2 linked regions of the Neodiprion lecontei genome follow. Each later gene encodes a partner of the first gene's protein in a complex. Links are inferred from orthologs where the notes say so. Each region holds a gene or a part of one and is shown in the gene's direction. Other genes may lie near its edges. The genes, in order: WASH complex subunit 5 and WASH complex subunit 1.

The links.
Region 2: WASH complex subunit 5 (region 1) and WASH complex subunit 1 share a complex: the UniProt entries of both Drosophila melanogaster proteins name them as parts of the WASH complex. The link is inferred for Neodiprion lecontei from reciprocal best matches to the Drosophila melanogaster genes Strump and wash.

What each region holds. Positions count from the first base shown.
Region 1 is NC_060261.1:22,757,928-22,768,125, forward strand, and holds the start of WASH complex subunit 5, read left to right. Parts: upstream 1-3,897; 5' UTR 3,898-3,991; coding exon 3,992-4,113; intron 4,114-4,353; coding exon 4,354-4,444; intron 4,445-4,535; coding exon 4,536-4,727; intron 4,728-5,732; coding exon 5,733-5,947; intron 5,948-6,030; coding exon 6,031-6,397; intron 6,398-6,485; coding exon 6,486-6,761; intron 6,762-7,447; coding exon 7,448-7,673; intron 7,674-7,736; coding exon 7,737-7,972; intron 7,973-7,975; exon of another isoform or gene 7,976-8,049; intron 8,050-8,307; exon of another isoform or gene 8,308-8,746; intron 8,747-9,643; coding exon 9,644-9,895; intron 9,896-9,955; coding exon 9,956-10,138; intron 10,139-10,198. Other genes in the region: uncharacterized protein LOC124293002, read left to right, coding at 1-77. UniProt on the Drosophila melanogaster protein: Acts at least in part as component of the WASH complex which may regulate wash nucleation-promoting factor (NPF) activity and is required for its membrane targeting during endosomal sorting.
Region 2 is NC_060264.1:30,291,055-30,301,652, reverse strand, and holds WASH complex subunit 1, read left to right. Parts: upstream 1-5,048; 5' UTR 5,049-5,117; coding exon 5,118-5,163; intron 5,164-5,255; exon of another isoform or gene 5,256-5,497; coding exon of another isoform or gene 5,498-5,519; intron 5,520-5,818; coding exon 5,819-5,948; intron 5,949-6,136; coding exon 6,137-6,692; intron 6,693-7,155; coding exon 7,156-7,968; 3' UTR 7,969-8,250; downstream 8,251-10,598. Other genes in the region: dynamin-1-like protein, read right to left, coding at 379-435, 610-821, 924-1,245, 1,475-1,660, 1,840-2,370, 2,459-2,706, 2,946-3,510, 4,491-4,592; carboxypeptidase N subunit 2-like, read left to right, coding at 9,860-9,901, 10,231-10,368, 10,557-10,598; congested-like trachea protein, read right to left, coding at 9,015-9,202, 9,334-9,507. UniProt on the Drosophila melanogaster protein: Acts as a nucleation-promoting factor by activating the Arp2/3 complex to induce actin polymerization. Participates in both linear- and branched-actin networks.

The sequences.
Region 1 (10,198 bases):
TAAACCAAGCTCCCCTTATCGTCATCGATTGCTCCAAGCAGGACAAAACATTAAAAATTGGACCTGTGGACATTTGATTGGAATTTGACTCTAGCATCACGTTCCCACCACACACTTCTGCCTACTGCATGATCTTGCATGACCGCATTGTTGAATATAATCCGATTAGTGGTACTGTAAAAAAATTGGTATAAGTCAGTTTTGGAATAATAATATGTTCAATTAATATGGATATTGAAAATATTATGTATGTATAATTTCACTCGTTAAAATTTAGAATAAGATAATTTAGAATAGAATAAGAAAACTAAGTGTAATTGATGTTGAATAAAAAAATTGTTAAAAGCATTCAAAACGCCATTTTAAACCTTCCTTCAGGGGTCATTTCCTGGAATTTTTTCAATAGATCTAGCGGGTTTTTACCCTATCCGATTTATGCACGGCTTTCCGGCGCCAAACAAATCTCGACAGGAATTATTTTGTGTGTGTGTGTGTGTCAAATCCTGGGGGGGTAGCGCCGCGGTTTTAGGGGAGGGGGCAGCACCGCGGATTTAGGGGAACGGGGGGCTAGGGGGGGAGCTAGGAGGATGCGCGCCATTGTGTGGTCCTGAACTGTCATATATACACCACTCATACAAATGTTCAAGAATTTTCAGACGCTCGAGTTTGCTACCGAAAAATCTGAAAAAATCCTTGATATGTGCGCAGATATGTTCTGTTAGATTTATGATTTGTTTCATAATTTTCGGAGTTAAAACGGCCGATTTAACGTGAAAAGACTGAATTTCGATGAAAAAACAGTTTCGTTGAAAATTATCAGCAAATTTATATTGTTATAAACAATTAAAATGTTTAACTCGATTTTTAACAATTCATCCCACCGCGTAGCGCGCTCTTAGTATAAACATCGTATTCCACGTAAAATTTTCGATCAAAAAGGCATTTTTAGTTGATGGATAAATTGTTATTACTATTGGAAAAAAATTAATTTATCTAGCGCGGCACGTCACATCGCCGCGCGGATTCCATTGCACGCCTCATTTTCTTGCTTCGTATCGTTTGTATATGCAATATAAATGCTAATTCTATATTTTTAATTAAACAATATTATTTATTAGCAAAGAAGAACAATATATAATATATATGTGGCTTTCCACGTCAGATTGACCTGCGGAAAAGTCTCTTCGAATCTGTTTAAAATTCGTGAAAACTTTCTGTTACTTGTCGAGAGTGTTTGTGATTTTTTTTAGATTTTTACTCCATAACACTTATTATTAGACGTTAGCATTCGGTATAATATCTGCGGAAATCGGAAACGTCCGAAGTGTAATTAAGTATTACTCGTAAGCTATTGATTGTATAAAAAAAAGTTGCATATGAAAAAGTTTCAGTTTTGAGTGAACTTCAGCGCTAAATTATGCAAAAGGTATCGTGGCCGCTGAAACCCCGTAAAAGCTCAAAGAATATTAGTTTCTGAGATTTCTCAAAAGCGGCATAATTTCTTTCGACAAAAATTTCAGAGCATATTCCTTTCTTACTGTTCAAAAACTTGTGTAAAATTCATCATGGGCCGGGATCTGGTTTTCAAGGTATGATTTTTTTTCAGAATTAAAAAGATAAAAAAAAAATTGTCTTTATTTTTTTGTTCAATCTTTTATAAAGTCTTATTTACTAATAAATAATATTATTTTATCAACAATATAGAATAATCATTTATATTTATATTACAGAGAAAAACGATACGAGGCAAGAAAATGAGGCGTGCAATGGAATCCGCGCGCCGATATAATGTGCCGCGGTAGATAAATTAATTTTTTTTCAACAGTAACAATAATTTCTCCATCATTCAAAAATGCTTTTTTGATCAAGAATTTGACGTAGAATACGAAGGTTATACTAAGAACTCGCTACGAGGTGAGTTAAAGATCGATTTAAACATTTTAATTATTTATAACAATATGCATTTATTAATAATTTTCAATGAACCTATGTTTTTATTACATTTCATTCTTTTAGCTTTAAAATGAAAAAGAGAACTATCTAGCTCAAATAGAACTGGAGCTATGAATTTTTTAAAATGAGTCTCCCCGCCGAAAATCACCAGATTCTCAAATTTTCGACCCCATCTATTTTCTAAAATATGTGAAAAAAAAATCCTCGAATACGTATCTCTTTTTTTCGATGTAAAACCAGTAAAAAAAATTCAGCTGAATCAAAAATGTGTCGGTCAGAAAGGTGTTCGGTTTGCAAATAAATGTCTCAATGCTTAGGCAGATGTTGACCACGATGCAGTAGATAAGGGACGAAATTACTGCATTACGGGATCAAATGGCAGAGTTGGCAGAGTTCACCGAGAGGTCAGAAAGTTAAACAGAAACTGGACACATCACTGAAGACGAGACTCGAGTTCACAATTGGAAGAAGTATTCGAGGAATAGCACAGAATGCCTTGTGCGTGTTAGCGCGGGTCGGATGGACAGGTGGGAGGGCAAGCGCCATTTTTATAACAAGCAACTTGATAATTCTCGATATACGTACCTAAAGGAAGCGTTTAACTGGATGCTTGAGAGATAAGGGAAGACTATAGTACCGATTTTTAGCGCACCCCAATGAGAAATGGGATACGAAATGCGCTCAGAAGAAAAAATAATTATAGATCAACGAAAGAAATTGAAGAACAAAATGAAAAACTGGAGAAGTTTTTGTGATCTAAGGCAGCTGGTTACATAGATAATTGCATCTACAGGGTGGTTGGGAGCAGAAATGAAATACGGCAAGGATTTATGCATTCAGATTTTTATTGAACATTGTCATATGATGAAAAAGTAGGATTATGTATGGTGGCTAAAACAAATATGTACCTATAAAACTCCGAAAGGAGAGTTTGACTGAATAACTCGTTATTATTATTTTCGTACATGCATAACGATCGTTTTAGCGTTTTCTTAACTAGTACTTAAATAGTACTGACTTCCAGACACAGAGAATTCAATTAGTTCTAAATAAAATCTGGTGAAATTAAGAGAACTCGTTACACTTATTGTTAGCTGTAACAGAACTGGGTTGAAGTCAAAAATTGTTAACGAAAGTCAGGTTATACTATACTATACTTGACGATGGAAATTACAAAGAAATGGCCTCAAGTTCTCAAACTTCGACCTGATATTTTGATCAGCACCCATTGTTAGTTTTATTTACTGCGTTGGATTTGAGATTAGTTCTTAAGATAGTAAAATTATCGCCAGAATCGAATTTTATTGTACAAACTACAACCTGCGTCTAATTTGAAATATTTTCCTCTTCATTTCATTTTGCTCTGTCATATTATATTTTGACTATTATAAAGCAAATTTTAATGGAGGTGTTAAACTTTTTTCGAAATAGAAACATGCAGTTCAGTTTTATCCTCATAATTCTATAAAAGTATTGGGGGTTCAACGTTTTAAAAAAATTTCGATTATTGCACTTTATTACCTTATTTGAATGAATATTAGAACGTTTGGTTGCTAATTCTGGTTGATAGCTTCAGCCGCGTCAATAATAGTTGTAAGAGATAATTTAAAAGGTCAGCAAATCTAAAGGGATTCCAAATTCTTAGGTAAAGATCTTAGTACTAATAAAACAGCAATCAAAATTTGAAGTAAGTGCACGTGATTTTGAAAATAAATCAGCAAAATGCAAAATTTGTTAGCTGAAAAATCTCGCAACGTCGGCTAAGTTCATTTTGACGTTGAATTTGAGACATGAGTCGGTAAGTTATAATTAAGGTTATAATTAATGTATTTGAATATCCCGAGGTATATTAATAGGTCGCTAATAAGGCGGACAGTTTGCATCTATAACGCCTGCAACAATGCAATCATGCTCACGCACTCTATCCGACTTTGCTGCAATGAGTCCGCAAAGCAGAAAACTAATGTTTTGACGTGGTCTATTTAATTGTAAGTGGAGTGTCTCGTCAAAAGGTTCAACAGATTAACCTGTCTCTAAAATGGGGGACTTTCTGGCATTGAATAACGGATGCGGCCAGAATATTTTACAGCTTGTTTCGCGTGGAAATGCTATTATAGCTGAATTGATGCGGCTAAAGGATTACGTGCCGCCAATTTTTAGGTTAGTATTCTCTGTTCGTTTATACCTCTTCATTCTCATATCGTCATTCTGCATATGCATGTAAAACGATATCACGATGGTCATGCTCATATGGAACACCTTCAGCAATTTCCAATTCACATAAATAATACATCCACATTAAGTTCTCACTGAGGTGTCAAACTGCAAATGAGGTATTCATTATTCTATAAACGTCCGTCAATCTCACTATCATAACTTGTCCCTTACACCAATTTATAGGCAGGCGGATCAACGTTACAGCCAAATCATCTTGGACTTCTCCTATTTCAAGGCTGCCGATGCGTATGAGCATAAAATAGAAAACGATTCTGTGAGTCAAAATTGTAATCGAAGCTATAGATGGATGTATTATATCAGAATATAATAGTTTACTCACTAACCAAATGGTCTGACAAACCCAGGTATCGCAGGAACTGGACGAAGAGATGCGTGATACATTTTCAGATATTCTGACTAGATTTTATTTGGCTTTTGAAAGCATTCACAAGTATGTTACCGATTTGAATGCTTTTACCGAAGAATTGGAGGATGGAATATACATACAGCAATCTATCGAAACAATAATGCTCAGTGAAGAAGGAAAGCAGTTGATGGTATGGACATATTGTATGTGTCTGGTCAGCTTTGTTTACTCGATATTAAGGAAGTTAATCAACCAAATATGCGGATAGTGGTCGCAAAAAAGGAGAGAATTTTATTTAAAAATATTTGCAAAAAAGATGCTTACTCATTAGAGATATAATGTAATTTAAGTTCCAATAGTCGTTAGCTTTCTGCTGTATTCCAAAGCAAGGTTATATTGCTGCATGAACTCAATTCTGAATATTATTTTTAAAACATATGTGATTTAATTTTGTCTGAAGCATATTTTCATGTGACATTTTGGAATGATGGAGGAATTATTCCTGGTGATTAAGAATGTTAATTCCAATGGATACTATGCTGAACAGCTTTCAGCTGTGTCAACTTTTTCAAACTGCGCTACAATTTTTTGAATGTGTTATGACTCGATTTGCAAACAACTTCACTTCATCAGATTATTATAGCATGTTCTTTTTTTGAAATTCTCTTCAGAACAAAGAAATCAAAAACGACTTTTTAAGCTATCCCACTTCAAAGAAATTTCCTGTTTACTAGAGAAGTCGGAGAATCTTTTGAGTGTCTAAAATTGATCATAGTTTGTAATAATATAACAATCTTTATACAAAATATTTATTCTGATCTCTTTTCTACAACTAAAATTCCATGATTTACTTGAGAAAAAAGTAGTAATTCATATATCGAATATGAAAGACGAAAGCAGGATTGCAGAAATTACTTTGAACTCACATCTGTTTCACATAGAAATATCTGATACAGTAAATTGTTGAAAGCAAAAGTTTCTGTTAATTCCGAATTTCACGAAACGAGCGATGTTTTTCATTCCTGGACGCAGTTGGTTGCCCGCAATAAACAGCCAGACAAAGATCAAGAATATAAAAATTCAAACCTTTCGTAATCCCTGATAAAAAATTTCAAAAACTATTTGCTTTCCCACTCATGATCGTACATGATGTAGCAAACTGAGCAATAATATTGAAATCGTCCTTGTATCGCAGTGTGAGGCAGTGTATTTGTACGGAGTCATGCTTTTGTTGGTTGATCTGCACTTCGAAGGACCAATTCGAGAACGGCTGCTTGTTTCCTACTACCGATACAATGTACAGCATATATCAACGACAAGGGTAGATGATGTTTGTGTCCTACTCAGATCAACAGGATTTAGCAATGCACCTTTCAAACGCCCTGCAAACTATCCGGAAGCATATTTTAAGTAATATTTTCCCTCTTTGATTTGAATTGAACATTCACAAAATTCTAGGTTAAAAACTCACAAAATAATTTTTTCGTATACAGACGAATTCCGCTCAACACTCTTCTTGTTGATCTCGTAATAAGTCGCCTTCGCTCGGACGAAATATACAATCAAAGTCTGGCTTTTCCTTATCCAGAACATCGGAGCATGGCGCTAGCCAGTCAGGCTGCTATGCTAGTCGTGGCTCTAGCCTTCAGCCCGTCTACGCTTCACTCTCAAACTTCGATAATGAGAGAAACAGTCGATAGATTTTTTCCGGATAATTGGGTGATCAGTATATACATGGGGCTAGTCCTGAACTTGTGGGACTGGTGGGAGCCATATAAAGCTGCAAAAAATGCTCTCAATAACACGTTTGAGGTTTCAAACGTGAAACAAATTGCTCAAAAGTATGGGCAGAAGTTAAAGGTATGCATACGATGTCTGTACGTTATTCTTCTAACAAAATTCAATGCTAACAAAAAATGTTGAGTAAGTTTCTACCTGTGATTTTCAGAAACAGGTAGCCGATACCAAAGAATTCCAATTAACCAAAAGAGTGGAGGAAAATGCAATCGGAAATACTGTCAAGCTTGTTCGTGACTGTAATGTTACTCTTCATTGGATCCTTCTCCACACCTCAATGCCTGGTATGTTCAGCGAAGGATCCAAACGATCGCGGAGTATCCGCCAACTCGTTATACAGGAATCCAAATACATCGCCATTGAATGTCTCTGGCTTTTGCTTAATACTGCTCAACTAGAGCAAGATGTTAAACAGATGTACAAACAGGTGAGACATGTTAATGGCGCGTATTATTTCAAATAATGGTTATTGAAGAAATGAAATATCTCAGTTATAATTTTCATCCTGCACTTTATTTTACACCAGTCTACTTCTACTTAGTGGAACATTCAGCATCTTTGAAATGTTGTACATTGTACAATAGAGTGAAGTGAAGTCAGATTGAAAATAAATTTCCCAAATAAACTAAGTAGGTGTGAAATGATATTTTAAAGGCATTCGAGGATAATGAAATTGTACGGAAGGATTTGCTAGGTCATATTTATTCTACTTGTGAATCTTTTCACTTTGAAGATGTCCAACTTTACAGTTTGTCTATTCGGTTTAAGCACAGCAGATGCTGGGGTTCTTAAGTAGATTTGTGGTTATAAACTCTGGCCTCGGCTTTTAAAAAATTGAAATATCCAGTAAATTCAATGTTCTTTTAGTGAGTATTAATTTTCTACACAGCATTATTTTATGCAATGCAAGGTGAGATTGAAGCGAATAGATATACTGCAGCTGGTGCCATTTCCTCCATCCATTTCCTTATACTTAGACACTGTAATACTAATGTAGAGTTTTAAAGAAAGCGCATCATGAAAAAATTAGTTGCCTTAACTGCTTTGTCAGATAGTCACTTTGTTATCTTTACATTTTGTTTTAATACTAACTATACTTGAACACCTACGCAGCTGCTGACTGACAAAGAAACAATTTGGACTCGTCACAAAGAGATTTGCGTTGAACGTATTTCTGGTTTGGCAGAAGTGTTCAGTGGAAACAGGCCGCTAGATGGGGTAGAAAAGAACGAATGCTTGCAGATATGGTTCAAAGAGATAGGAAAACACGTTGATTCCCTACAGCAAGACGAGGGAAGAAAGATAGTGCAGCTGTTTCAGGCCCTGGAAGAAGTTCAAGGCAAGTTGATTGTCTATGGTTTTTTGTTAATTGTTCAGAGATTGTTGTAACATAAACTTACAGAGTTTCATCAATTGGAGCATAATCTACATATATCTCAGTACCTCGCTGACACTCGTGATATACTGCAGCGTATGCTTCGCACCAGTAGCATAACTGAGGATGTAATGATCGCCTTAAACATCGTAACAGACTGTAGCTACGCATGGAACATTATGGAGTCTTTCATAAGCATCATGCAGGAGTGTATTAAAAAGGATCCACCGATGGTTACCAAATTGAAACCCCTTTTTTCGAAGGTATTATTCTCACTTCCTGATATTGCTCAATACTCATTTTATTAGTAAAAAATGGTAATATTTCGCATTGATAATTTCTAAAAAAAAATCGTAAAAACGTTGTGAATTATGTCCACTGAAAATTGACACACACACGGTCAAAAAGTAAGAACCATGTTATTGGTGAAATGAGGTTTTTTTTCTTAACCTTGAATCCATATCTCAACTGCAGTTCCCATTGAGTTCAATTATTTTTTAACTTCTTGTCAAAAATTCCACATTTTCTATTTACTGTTTACTGATACAGTAAAACCTCATTTAAACGTTAAGCACTTGTACGTTTTTCTTGTTTATACCTTAAATTTTTCTTCGTCGAGGCCATTTGTGCCTATGAACCATGTGAAAATATCTCACTTGCAGGTTTCTCGTTTAACGTTTGGCACATATACTCTACGTTAACCGTCTCATAGCACTGTTCTCTAACTGTTAAACATTATTGCAGCTGATTTTTAAGTCCAGTCTTTCGATTTGATGTTTGCCTACCGCTAATTAACGCACGCGTTTTGATATTTCGTGTTCTTATCTACTGCTGGATGACGCAGGTTGACCTATGTGGCTATTGCTATCCCAAAGACGTTTTGGCAAGTTCAGGTCAGCACCATATCTACGGAGAGATAATTTTTACTTACCGTCACTATATTAACTTTAACCATTCGACAACTAACTTATTTTTTGGATTATGAAGAACACTCTGGTTCAAAATGACCCTGTTCCATTTTTGACGTGTTACCTGTCGAATGTATGAGTCCAATCTACCTCAAAAAATTCAGAGATGTAATTTCACTATCTTAGAATGTGATCGTGTAGTTTGTATGTATAAATATAAGTCATAAATACGAGAAAAAATCTGGAAGAGGAAAATTTTTGAGAAGAATTACAGTTTTAGAAGAAAAAGGTACAAGTTAGACCAGCGCAGTATGTTTTTGAATGTTTAAGCTAGCTGTGAAATGCTCGAACTAACTCTAATTAGTCACTTGGGGTGAATATCACCAAACACATTATTCAAACTTCTCGTAGAGTCCTTTAGTATCATAACTTTGCCGATGTTTTACAATATTTAAACAATCAATTGTGATTGGGAAAAACTAAGAGATCTTTTTCTGCGACCCTTAATCAATACCTGGATATTTTTATTAGATTTTTAGAACTCATTGTTGAAGCAGGATATCACTTTTGGAGCTAGGGTGAATTTCAGCCTGTGTGACTGTTATGCGATTTTACTGAAGTGTTACCAATTAGTGTTAATAATATTAGTTGGCAACATTACATGACCGAATAATATTTATAAAACCACTGGAAATCATGAATTTTTCATCTGCTAATCATGAAGGTTTGAAACATTTAGATATTTCGCTTCAACGTTATTCGCACTTATACGTAAATATTGCCATATCCCTTGAAAAACGTATAACTGAAGTTTCACTGTATTTGAAAACAATGAACTATTTAAGATCAATACTTACATGAAGGAAAAGAAGTGAAAAGTTCAGGTACACACAATATATATAAGGGGTACGATTAGGTACATACTTGATATATTTTTAAGACAAGGACTAGTGTGAAATATCATAAAATAATCAAATTAATTAAACGAAAGCAAAAAAATTGTTATGAGAATATTACTCCTTGCAGATGGCATCTGCATTGGAAACTCCACTACTACGTATAAATCAAGCTCACAGTTCAGATTTGTCTTCAGTATCACAGCATTACAGTAGAGAATTGGAAGTATTTGCCCGACATGTTCTTCAAGTTATTCCAGAAACAGTGTTTGGCCTACTTGCACAGATTGTCGATTTGGAAACCAATCATCTCAAAGAGATACCTTTGCGATTAAGCAAGGATAAACTGAGAGAATACGCACAGTTGGATGACAGGCTCAAGGTACAAAAATTAAATTGTCCTCATCATGATCTCCTTATTAAGTCCCCTTTATTGCTACAGGTAGCTAAGTTAACGTACACTGTATCAGTTTTTACGGAAGGGGTGCTTGCCCTAAAGAGTGTTTCATTGGGTATTCTTCTGGTCGATTCTCACCAGCTACTTGAAGACGGAATAAGGCAAGAGCTTGTTGAAAAAATAACCCTTGCCTTGCACAGTGGCCTTACATTCGATGCAAAGTCAAAGGTAATTAAACAGTTTCATTTTTATTTTCCCAGATCTAAGTAGGATCAAAATTAATTTTTT
Region 2 (10,598 bases), on another chromosome or scaffold:
CAATAAGTAAGATGGGGGGGAAAAAAAAAATAAAAAAAGAAAAGCTCCCTGAAATAAAAATATACACTCGATTCTATTTTCCATGTGAAGTTTTACACTCTTTGTTCTCCTGAATACCCTGGACATTAACTCGAATACGATAATTTGATTTCTTAAATTATGCATTCGAAGAACTTGGAACTTTGCATTTTTAAGAATTGCATACTCGAGCAGTTTTCAGGATATTGGACAACCGCTTGGAAAACAGAACCGTTTGATTCAACAGGCAAATGGCATTAATTCAATCAATTACCGGCGTATGTCCAGACGCAAGTGATATACCTATTTGTTACTAGCATTTCTGCACCTGTGCATTTCTCATACGACTAGTGACGATGATCACCACATATGTGTCTCACGAATCTCGCTTATGATGTGCCCAGCCTTTGTTAGTGCCTGTAAATGATATAAATATAATTATACACCATTCTTCAGCGATCGAATAATTGTATGAATTATATTTCCATTGTCTTTAAAGCGGGTCTCTCGATCGGTTAACGTTTCGAGACTCCCAAGTGAACAAACGATAATATTTGTGAGGAAAAAAAAAAAAATAAACAATGTACGCACTTTGAGCATATCAGCAGCTTCCCTACGCCTCACGGCGATGTGTTCGCTCTCATTAAGTAACGACTCAATGTGGTCCGTTTTGTACAGGTGAGTGACCAACTCGCTCTGTAAATTGTCCTTAACGTAATTAACGAGGAAATGCATAACAGCCTTCGGTACGCTGTCCTGAATTGATTTTCTAACTATGTAAAAATACGACTTGATAAGACGCTCTGAAAAGTATAAAATAACATTAATTATTTATAGTTGAACAAAACTGTAGATTAAAAAAAAAAAGACAAAGATCGAACCATTAATCATTCCAGATATCTTACCGATCACATCACAGTCACGTTGCTCACGATCACTAAGCTTCCGAGAAGTTTGCATCGGAACTTCTGGGAGTAGATTTACTGGTTTTTGCTGTGGCGATCCCCGCTGTAAATCCGAAACAGAATTTGGGCTAGGTGTAGGATTAGGAATGGGACTTCCATCCCTATATCTTACTGGAGATCCATCGATGGAATTGCCGCTTGTTGAATCAGACTTTACTTGCGGCAGCAAGTTGCTCAGCAGCCAATGATTTGCTTGTGCCTCTTTACTTTGTTCGTTATTAAATACCGGTGGCTCCTCACGATTGTTGACTGCTTTTTGATTCTGACAAAACATTGTTACCAAAGCTTTTATGTGACGAAAATATTTGATTGATTGTAGTTGATCAGGAAATTTTTCAACTTGCGAGATAAAAAAGACAATATAGGTATGTTCTGAGAACAATAAAATTTTCTCAAAATTCTGTTCAGAAACATTCAATGGTTGATAGAAATAGACGAAAATATAAAATTGTTCAATTTAAACCAAGAATGGATCAACTATTATTGCTCACTTGTTCGGAAGGTAGAATCGTACTGCCTGTAGAAGTATTTGAAGAAGCAGATATATGTCTTTTACTGGGTCTTACTTGATCCGCCTCTGCATTCTTTAATAACGAAGAGACTAGTGCCGCATCTTTGTGAAAATCTGGATGTTTGGTATTGATGTAAGCAAGCTCGATAGCGACCAAATTCTCCACCTTGTAAACAGATTCTCTTGGTTAATTATAACAAGTGCCGAAATAAGCGAAAAACTAGTCGCAACGTCATTACAAATAAGGTAAACCGTTCAGGCAAGTCTAAGTGAAATCGATGTCAATGCTCCATTTTCACAAAACGCAGACCAAAGTTGCGTGTAATGTATTTGAAATATCTTCACCATAGAATTAGTTGTCGGTAATCGTCGGCGTAGAAGATGCGTAACAACGTCGACGATCCGTTCGTGTAGTTTTGGAAAACGAAGCATTTCTTGCTGAACTTCGGTGCCGCAGTGTTGAATGATTCTCTGCATCTCTTCGTGAACTAGTTCGACGCAGCGTAGCGAAGGCTCTTCGAGTCTCCTGATCTGTCGCTTGACCAGGAGTTCAAACGAGACCTCGGGAACAAAGAGAGCCGGTCTGGGACCCGTCGCATTTCGAATTGCAGTCAAAATATCCATCCTAGTTAGACCAGCCAGTGGATGAATGGAATCTAGTGTTCGTCCAAATGTCTCGTGAAATATGTAGCAGATACGAGCACCTCCACAGAGCTCGGTAGTCTCTATATTTCTTGCTGTTCCCTCAATCGTCGAACAGTAACTGCTCGCAAACTTGGTTATTATCTGAAGCAGTGTCTGGCTCTTGTCTCCCACATCCTCTCCGTATGAGTTTAAAAGTGTTTGGAATTGGGAGACCATCACATTCACGCGTGTCTGTTGTTTGAATAAATAATTGTTACATGGCCGAAGGAAGGGACCAGATTTACATGCTCTCCTGACTAACAATTTAGCAAAGGCTTACCTTTAAATCGGGAAGGCAATCGCGAATATGATGCATTAAAAGTCTGTTGAGGGTTTTTGCTAAGTAAGGAGTGCCGTTTCTGTTTGCCAAAGTAGGATATTTTCGTTGCAGGAAGGCAGCTTCGTCCTTAAGAGCTTCCTGGATAGACTTGTTATTCATTATGTCTTGCTGTGAACGATTTACAACTCCTATGATCCCCAGCTTCACAGGAATCACCCGTCCGCACAGGATATCAATCGCATCCGTTCCTCAAACCCAAAATAACAAGCGACTCTCAAGCAGGGTTGTATAAATGAATGATAAAATAATTCCAAGAAAAATATAATTCTTCGGGACAAATTTTCAGATCAAGATTAGCTAATCAAATCAATTCTTAAACTTAACTCCAGTTTAAGAGAGAAAAAAGAAGGATAGAAAGAAATACGTCGCCACAAAATTCAATACATCAGATATCAGTTCAAAGTTACTATTTAGTTGGTCAAATTACCAGCGTCCATTAGATCCAGTTTAGTAACAACTGCGAGGGTTCTCCTTCCATCGGGATCAACGTCTTTGCTGAGTTTGAGGCTCTCGCTGGTCGCCATGTCCGTGTTTGCGGTTACAACGGCCAATATTATGGAATTTGGATTGCAAATGTGTTTCAGAACCAAGTTTCTGATTTGCGCTTCAATATCCTCGGGCTGATCGCCAACGGGGACCTTGGTGATCCCTGGCAAGTCGACGAGTGTCAGATTTACAACCGAGGTTGAATAAACCTTCAGATTAATCGGTTCAGGACAAATTCCCTTGTTGGATCCAGCCATCCGATTCGTTTCAGCCTCAATTTCCAATCTGATATCATCGAAGTTTGTAAATATTTTATTTTTAGTGTGCAAAAATACACCCCACTCGTCAAGGGTCAGCGTCCCATCTTCGGCTGTTCTGTGCTCCCTGTCATCTTTCGGCGCATAAACGAGCTGAAGAATCAACGGCCTACGAGTCACTATACCAGTCCCTCTGGGCAGAAACGAGCGGCCTACCAAACTCTCTATGACGGACGATTTCCCGGAGCTCTGCATACAATGGAAAACATATATTCTCATTTCATTTGTCGGATATTCTTTTCATTCTCAAATGGGATAATGTATGGATAACACAAGGGAATTGGAAGAGGTAATTCATCATAGAAATAAACATTTTCCCAAACTATTTGTGACTGCACAGTTTTCTGGAGTTCTAATTCATAGTAGAAAATTATTCCTGGAATTAGATTCATTTCAATTTATCAACAATTCTGATAACTCTCAACCTCAAGAATAAGTGTTTTCATAGTTTAGCACAGGGATTAAAATTTTTATCTTTGAAAATCATTAGCAATCACTAAATAACTAATACCGGAAGTGGTAATGAAAGAAAAGTAATTTTGGAATGGGATAACGTTTTTTTAAAGTTTCACTTGTATGTTCATTTTAATGATTGTTGAATTGGAAAAATAGTTTTTGCTGGATCCTGTTAAGAAAATTCATATTTGTTGTCATTCACAGATCATGCAATGTAACCTAACAATGAGAATCTAAAAATTGGAGAAATGTTTTATGAAAGTAGGCGTTAAGGTGGACGAATAATTTAGGAGTAAAAATGAAACCAAAGATGGATATAAAATTAAAAAATAGTGTTTTCAAAGAATTGATTTGCAAGATTCCATTAGGAAAAGAAAAAAAATATGTTTTCTTTCATCACTGGTCTCATCAGCAAAAAATAAATTCAACTGTAAGAAAATGCTAAAACTAGTAAAAATCATCGATAAAAATAGAAACTTTTAAACGATAGTAATTTTAATGAGTGAAGTAAAATAATTTTAGTATAATATTCTTCGAATTTGAAATACAATACCTGAAAAAGTCATATCGACGACAAGTAGGATCACAAAGATAAAGGATCAAGGATCCGAGGGCAAGATCGGGCTTTTAAGGAAGAAACGCGAGACTGTCTAAATCAATGGTTTGAAACGTACCGACACATTGTCAATAGTATAGGTGAAATTATAATTAACCTGTGTTCCGAGAACGACGATTTGAGGCAATTGTATGGCGTCAGCACCAACGGTGTTGAATACATCTTGGAGTTTATTTATCACTGGAATGAGGGCCTCCATGATCGACGACGACGAGGTTAAGAGTAGTCGAGGAATACCACGATTTCTGTACAGATTAACGGAGCCTGAAATTCTAGCCACCCGACGAAAATTACAAGCTGAAGAACAATCGGAAGATCGAGGATACTGCGATTCCAACAGTTACGAGCATCTACACCACCTTCAACAAATCCAGCTCGAGCGTATGCAGAGATCGATGGATTATCGTTTTATTTTACAGAAACTAAAACCTAGGCGGTTTCTGCATCGATCGTCGACGAAATCGAAACCTCTCATTAACCCAGCGATACCCTTTTTAACTCACTACTCCCGTTTAATCCACCGGCTGAATTCACTCGGCCAGGAATCGTCAAGCCGCCATCTTTACTCTCCTTAAGGCGGTCGATTGCGAATTGGATCGCGAATGGGTTTTAAGTGCGGCCGTTATTTGAAATTTGAATTTATTACAGACTGCACGAAGCCGCGATTATAATCACGGAAATCAATCTGCGTTCGTATTTTCTTTTCTCATCCTCTTTGCTACGCATGCGATCTTCAGCCGCCTCGCGCTTTGGATTCGATTCGAAACTGGGTAAAGAATTGCAATCTTTGGCCAGTTTTTGACGGACGGAACGGAACCTAACATAACCTAACCTGATAAAGAATTAATGGGCGTAAAGTGGCAGAACTAAGAATGGCAGTCGTTCGCCTATGCAGACGATATGCAGTAGCACTTGTTTTGAGTAGTTTAAACCAGATTTAAATACAACTCGAATGATATGAGAGAGTTTATGGCGATGAGTTAATGGTTCGCGATTGTTGTTAAGTGTCAATACATTTTTCGGGGGAAGGAGCCGGCGTCGGATTGATATTTGAATCAATCGTCGTTTGTTTGTATAAAAATTGACCTTATCGAATCAGGAGAAATGCAGGGGCACATAGAAATTGGTAATAATGATACATTCGGCGTAATTTTTATACATTTCGTGTTATAAATACTCAAACATCAGTCATTCGCATTGTTTTTAATTGATTCGAGAGATAGATGAGATTTCTAAACAAATTCATTCGAACGCAGACCACAGTGTTATGCAAAATAATCTATGATCTTTGGATAGATAACGTTATGAAATCGTATGATTTTTAATCTTTAAATATCAGATGACAATAACAGTCACAATAATATTTATTTAAACAAATAATTATTCTCTCTTCGGCAAGTTTTAATTTTCAGCATCGTGTTTCAGGTGTGATTCCGCATGATTTGCGACAGGAGGAAACCATAGTCCAGATTGCAGAAGCATTAGATTCGCTCAACTCTGCTGTAGCAAGCATATTTAGCTGTATCGACGAGCGGTTATCGGAAAATACAAAAAGGTATTCAAGACAAAGTTGTTTGTGTTCTTTCGTTATGAAATGTAGTTGTGTAGCGCAAATCTGGTCTTCACTCTCAGAGATTGAAGAAAGAATAACTAATTAGCGTTTTCATTTTTCACAAGGTAGAAGAAAAGAACTAATGGTTGGAAAATATACTAAAAAATCTCATCTTTGATACGTTGTTACAGATTAGCCGGTATAAAAGGTCGCGCTGTGAAACTTCAGGGCAGATTAGACCACCTGCAAAATAACCTAAGCTTGAAGGCGGTGAAGCTATACTCTGCAGCAAAATACCCCTCGAATCATGTCTACAGAGAGTATCCGCTGGCTCTAAAACTGCCAATTAAAAAGGAGGATAAACCGCCGAGCGTCTATAAGAGCCCAGTTCCCATAGCGCAGGAGTTGAACTCGCAAAATATCGTCACCGAAAAGTCAAAGGACGGGCGGTGGAACGTTGACATCAACATACAAGACAAGCTGCAATTTTATCACGTCAAAAGTAAAACAAATAAAGGCAAGGGCTCTGGACATTCTAGAGCTATTCCAGTTAGACCAACCTCTGTCAGTTCGCTACTGCTACACGACGCCAAAGACAACCAGTATGGTAAACTTCCCGCAAAAAGCCTGGCATCGGCTAATGACAAGAGGGAAATCGAAGATGCTCCTACTTCGATATTGCAGTCATGGCACACCAATGATCTAGAATCTCCATCAAATTACTTCTATGCTCCAACGTTAGGCGAAGTACGTTTTTTAAGATTTATACCAACAAGGGCTTTTAGTTTGAAAGATATAAAATTTCTTGAATATTTTCTCTATTTTTTTAACTGATCGAGGTTTGAAATTTGAAAGAAATTCGTAACTGTTCTAGAACATGCTACTACTTTCAATACAAGGGTACCGACTATCAAATCTTATGAAACTGCATTTTTTCAGTGGATATTACAAACATACTGTAAACTCATCACTTCGGTACTTTAGATTTGAAAAGAAAAAATTATGAGTACAAAGAAGTTGAATGCTCAGATCAAACAGATTTACTTTTCACTTTCACACTTCACTAACAACTTAAATTTGGTATGAGAACTAGATCTAGTTTGTATTATTCAATTGATGATAGATACCACATGATCAATGTTTAAAACTTCAAAACTAGCACAGCGTTTATGAAGAATTGATTGTACGATTATACCATTTGTGTTTTCAGGTTCCACAGATAAACGTACCTCTCAGTCTCCCAGACCTGCCAGGAATAGTTGATGACGAACGTTTTGTGCTTGACCTACACAGTCAGAGTCCAATTGCTCCATCTTCGGTGGTAACAACACCGACTGTGAACCTGCCCTTACCAGCAGCTCCGTCTGATTCTGCCCCCGACGCAACTATGGAACCTCAAAACAGTAGAGAAAATGAACCTAGCCTTCCAAATTTGAGCCTACCAAGCATATCATCGGAGCAAAATCCTCCACCACCTCTACCTCCGGTTGAGATCGGTAACGTTTCTCATCCTGGGCCACCACCGCCTCCTCCTCCCAATCCCTCCACACTTTCAATCTCGACATCTCAACCACCACCTTCTGCTCCTGCTCCTCCTCCTCCTCCGCCTCCTCCTTCACTTGTCGAACCTCCAAAATTGTCATCATCGGTTACGAAAGACACTAAAACACAGTCTGTTAAATCTGTTCCAAATGTCGATCAGGTCGATAATCGGTCTAGCCTAATGGCAGCTATCCGCGACGCGGGCGGAGTTGGTAGAGCAAAATTAAGGAGTGCAGCACGTAAGGATGAAAATACAGATAAATGGTCTTCTGCTTTCGTTGGGGGCGATTTAATGGCAGATTTACACAACAAATTATCACTCAGACGTAGAGGTATTTCTGGAACAGCTACCGGCGCATTGGGCAGAATGTCCGCTATGATTCCTCCACCTCCGAAACCAAACGAGTCCGCTACTTCGGAGCGAAATTCTGCCGCAAGTGAACAAGACTCGCAACCTGATACCGATGATTGGGAGGAATGATAGACTAAGATTGCTACTTGAAACTTCCTTTTTCGCTGTATAAAAACATACACAGAGAGTGATAAAATATATATTCCAACAATAACGATAAAAAGAAAAAAGAAAATGTCTTCTTTGCTGTCGTGTACATAATTCAATCAGTTGTTATAGCCGTAATTTCTGAATTAATTTCACGCAATTTCAACTAAAAGCTGGTCAGTATTAACAATTACAGTACTTGATGTATTGGTAAATCGATACAAGAAAAGGTCAACAATAATAAAAATATTGGTACAAAATTCATCGCATATCTATAATAAGTTTCATATCCTATATCAAATGTACATTGTTATTCGTAAGATATGCAATGAAGTAAAACAACTTTGAATATTGATTAACCGTAAAGAATTGTAGATCTTTAATTTTGTGGGCAGGTTACGATATTGGTATCATGATATTCGTAGTATCTGTCAGCAATTAGATTAGATAAAACCAGCCATCTCTACTTTCACGCAATCTACTGGAGTCTATGATTGTAGAAAAATCTCTATTCTATGTCTTATTCAATGAAACAATAATGACAACTACGACAATGATCAATTAATAAGAATTCAGCACTGCTCAGCAATGCAATATTATAACTTTGAACGTTTTAAGTCATCATTTTGCTTATCTACTCAGCAACAGGACTTTTAGAAATTAAACAATTTGCAATGTGCTTGGCCACTTTTTACATCACTTACTTATTTTTTTTTTTTTTCCAAGAGTTAAATAAAAATGTTCAATCGCTAACAACATTCCACACTGAAGAATGTTTCGATTTTAAAAATGGGGGGTTGGGCCGACTTTATGGCGGTTATAAAATGCGTGTATAAAATTGTAAAATCATTTCGATTAATATCCGTAATACTTATCGATAGAGCAGTTCTTCACAATATTCATATACTTATTCTTAACTAATAATATATATAATATTATATACTGTATAAGATTCTTCAGTTAGTAAAGGCAGTTTTTCAAAAATTATAACACCGACGAGGGTGTGAAAATAGGTGATCCAGTAATCGTTATAAATTCGGAGCTGCCAAATTGAGGAAATTCATCGCCACTTCAAAGCCGGCAAAACAAGCTGCGTTTGCAGGGAATGCTCTGAGCATTACAGGAGCACATCCTTTGTAAAGTGCACGAGGTCCCTCTTCCTTCATCAGTTGAGTGAATACAGAACGAATTCCATTTTTGTATGTGCCTTCCGGTGCTTTAGAAAAATTAGAAACACACGTTAAAACCTTCACCCCCTAGTTGAACGATGAAGAAGAATAAACGATTGCTTGCGTATCACTGGACATGGCAGTAATTTAGTCATAATTCGTTGGCTCGTTCACCTACCAGTTTGCAGTCTACTTTTTAATACATCTGGGGGTATCGCTACGATCCAATTTGCAATTCCAGCCATACCACCGGCAAAAATAGTCGACACAACACCCAATTTTCCACCATCAGGTGTCAACCATCTCTGAAGCAATTCGTACATCATGAAATACACTCCACTGGCCGGTACGTCTGTAATGATAGAGGAATAAGACAAAGAGTCGAATAAATGCGTATGCCCGAAGTTTAGGGGTGGCGTATTGTTATTCGCGATGGGTGTGCTTGTTGTGTTTGCTATTATTAATATAACTTAGTAACTTTCAAATTGGAAATCACACCGTAATTAATAATATTGTAGAACGTGCGTGGGTCGATAGATAACTGACATCCTGCCCGGATATGGGACAAACAATCTGACAGATAAATACAAACGAAATTCAGTTTCTCTCCAGCTAGCTTCTCTTTCGGAAATCTAATTGTTCCTCCTTGTCGTCTGACCACGGTTACACGCCACATCTTTTGCTATTCTATACGTTTTACTATCATGAAGATCGTCACGCTGTTTTTATGGCCAGTTTTAATCCCGGTTCGTGATCATCGCTTTGTGCAATAATTTCTACTCTCAGAGTTTTTCTCGTTTTTCTTTTTTTTTTTTCGATCTTTCAGAATAAAGTTAGCAGAATAAACTAATTCATTATTAAACGCGTTTGATTGTTGAATCATTAATTTTGGACAATTTTAGTTCGGAAGGAGATAGTGTTTTTGTTCGTGTTTTATTTTTATTTATTTTTTTAACAATTTTGACAACAGCTCGCGATATGCATCAGAGCTTCTGGTTTCCTACATAATTATATCTCTTGCTCATTTTCCTCAAGACTCAATGAATGTATTGAATATGTTCATGATTTTATTCAGGCTTGGTGTTTTGGACAGATAATAGACATCGGTGGAATATGGGAGATACAATGTCCTCATGTATGCAATTGTCAGATAGCAAAGTTCTATGATTTGCCTTTGTATCGGTGGGCCAACATGAACACGAATAATCAAGAGGTAAATGAGTTGGGTTATTTAGCTGTAACAAGACGTAATAAGTTTGTGAAAATAGATTGTTTGTTTTTTTTTTCTCGTCAAATTAGACCATAATTTTTCAATAAATCAATAAATCTTCAAAAGGTTAATTACGAGAAGCACGTTACATTTTGATTTGACAATACTCCATGGTTGTATTAATTCCGCAGGATTTAGAACCGGAGGTGAATTATTATCAAAGTTTGAACAAT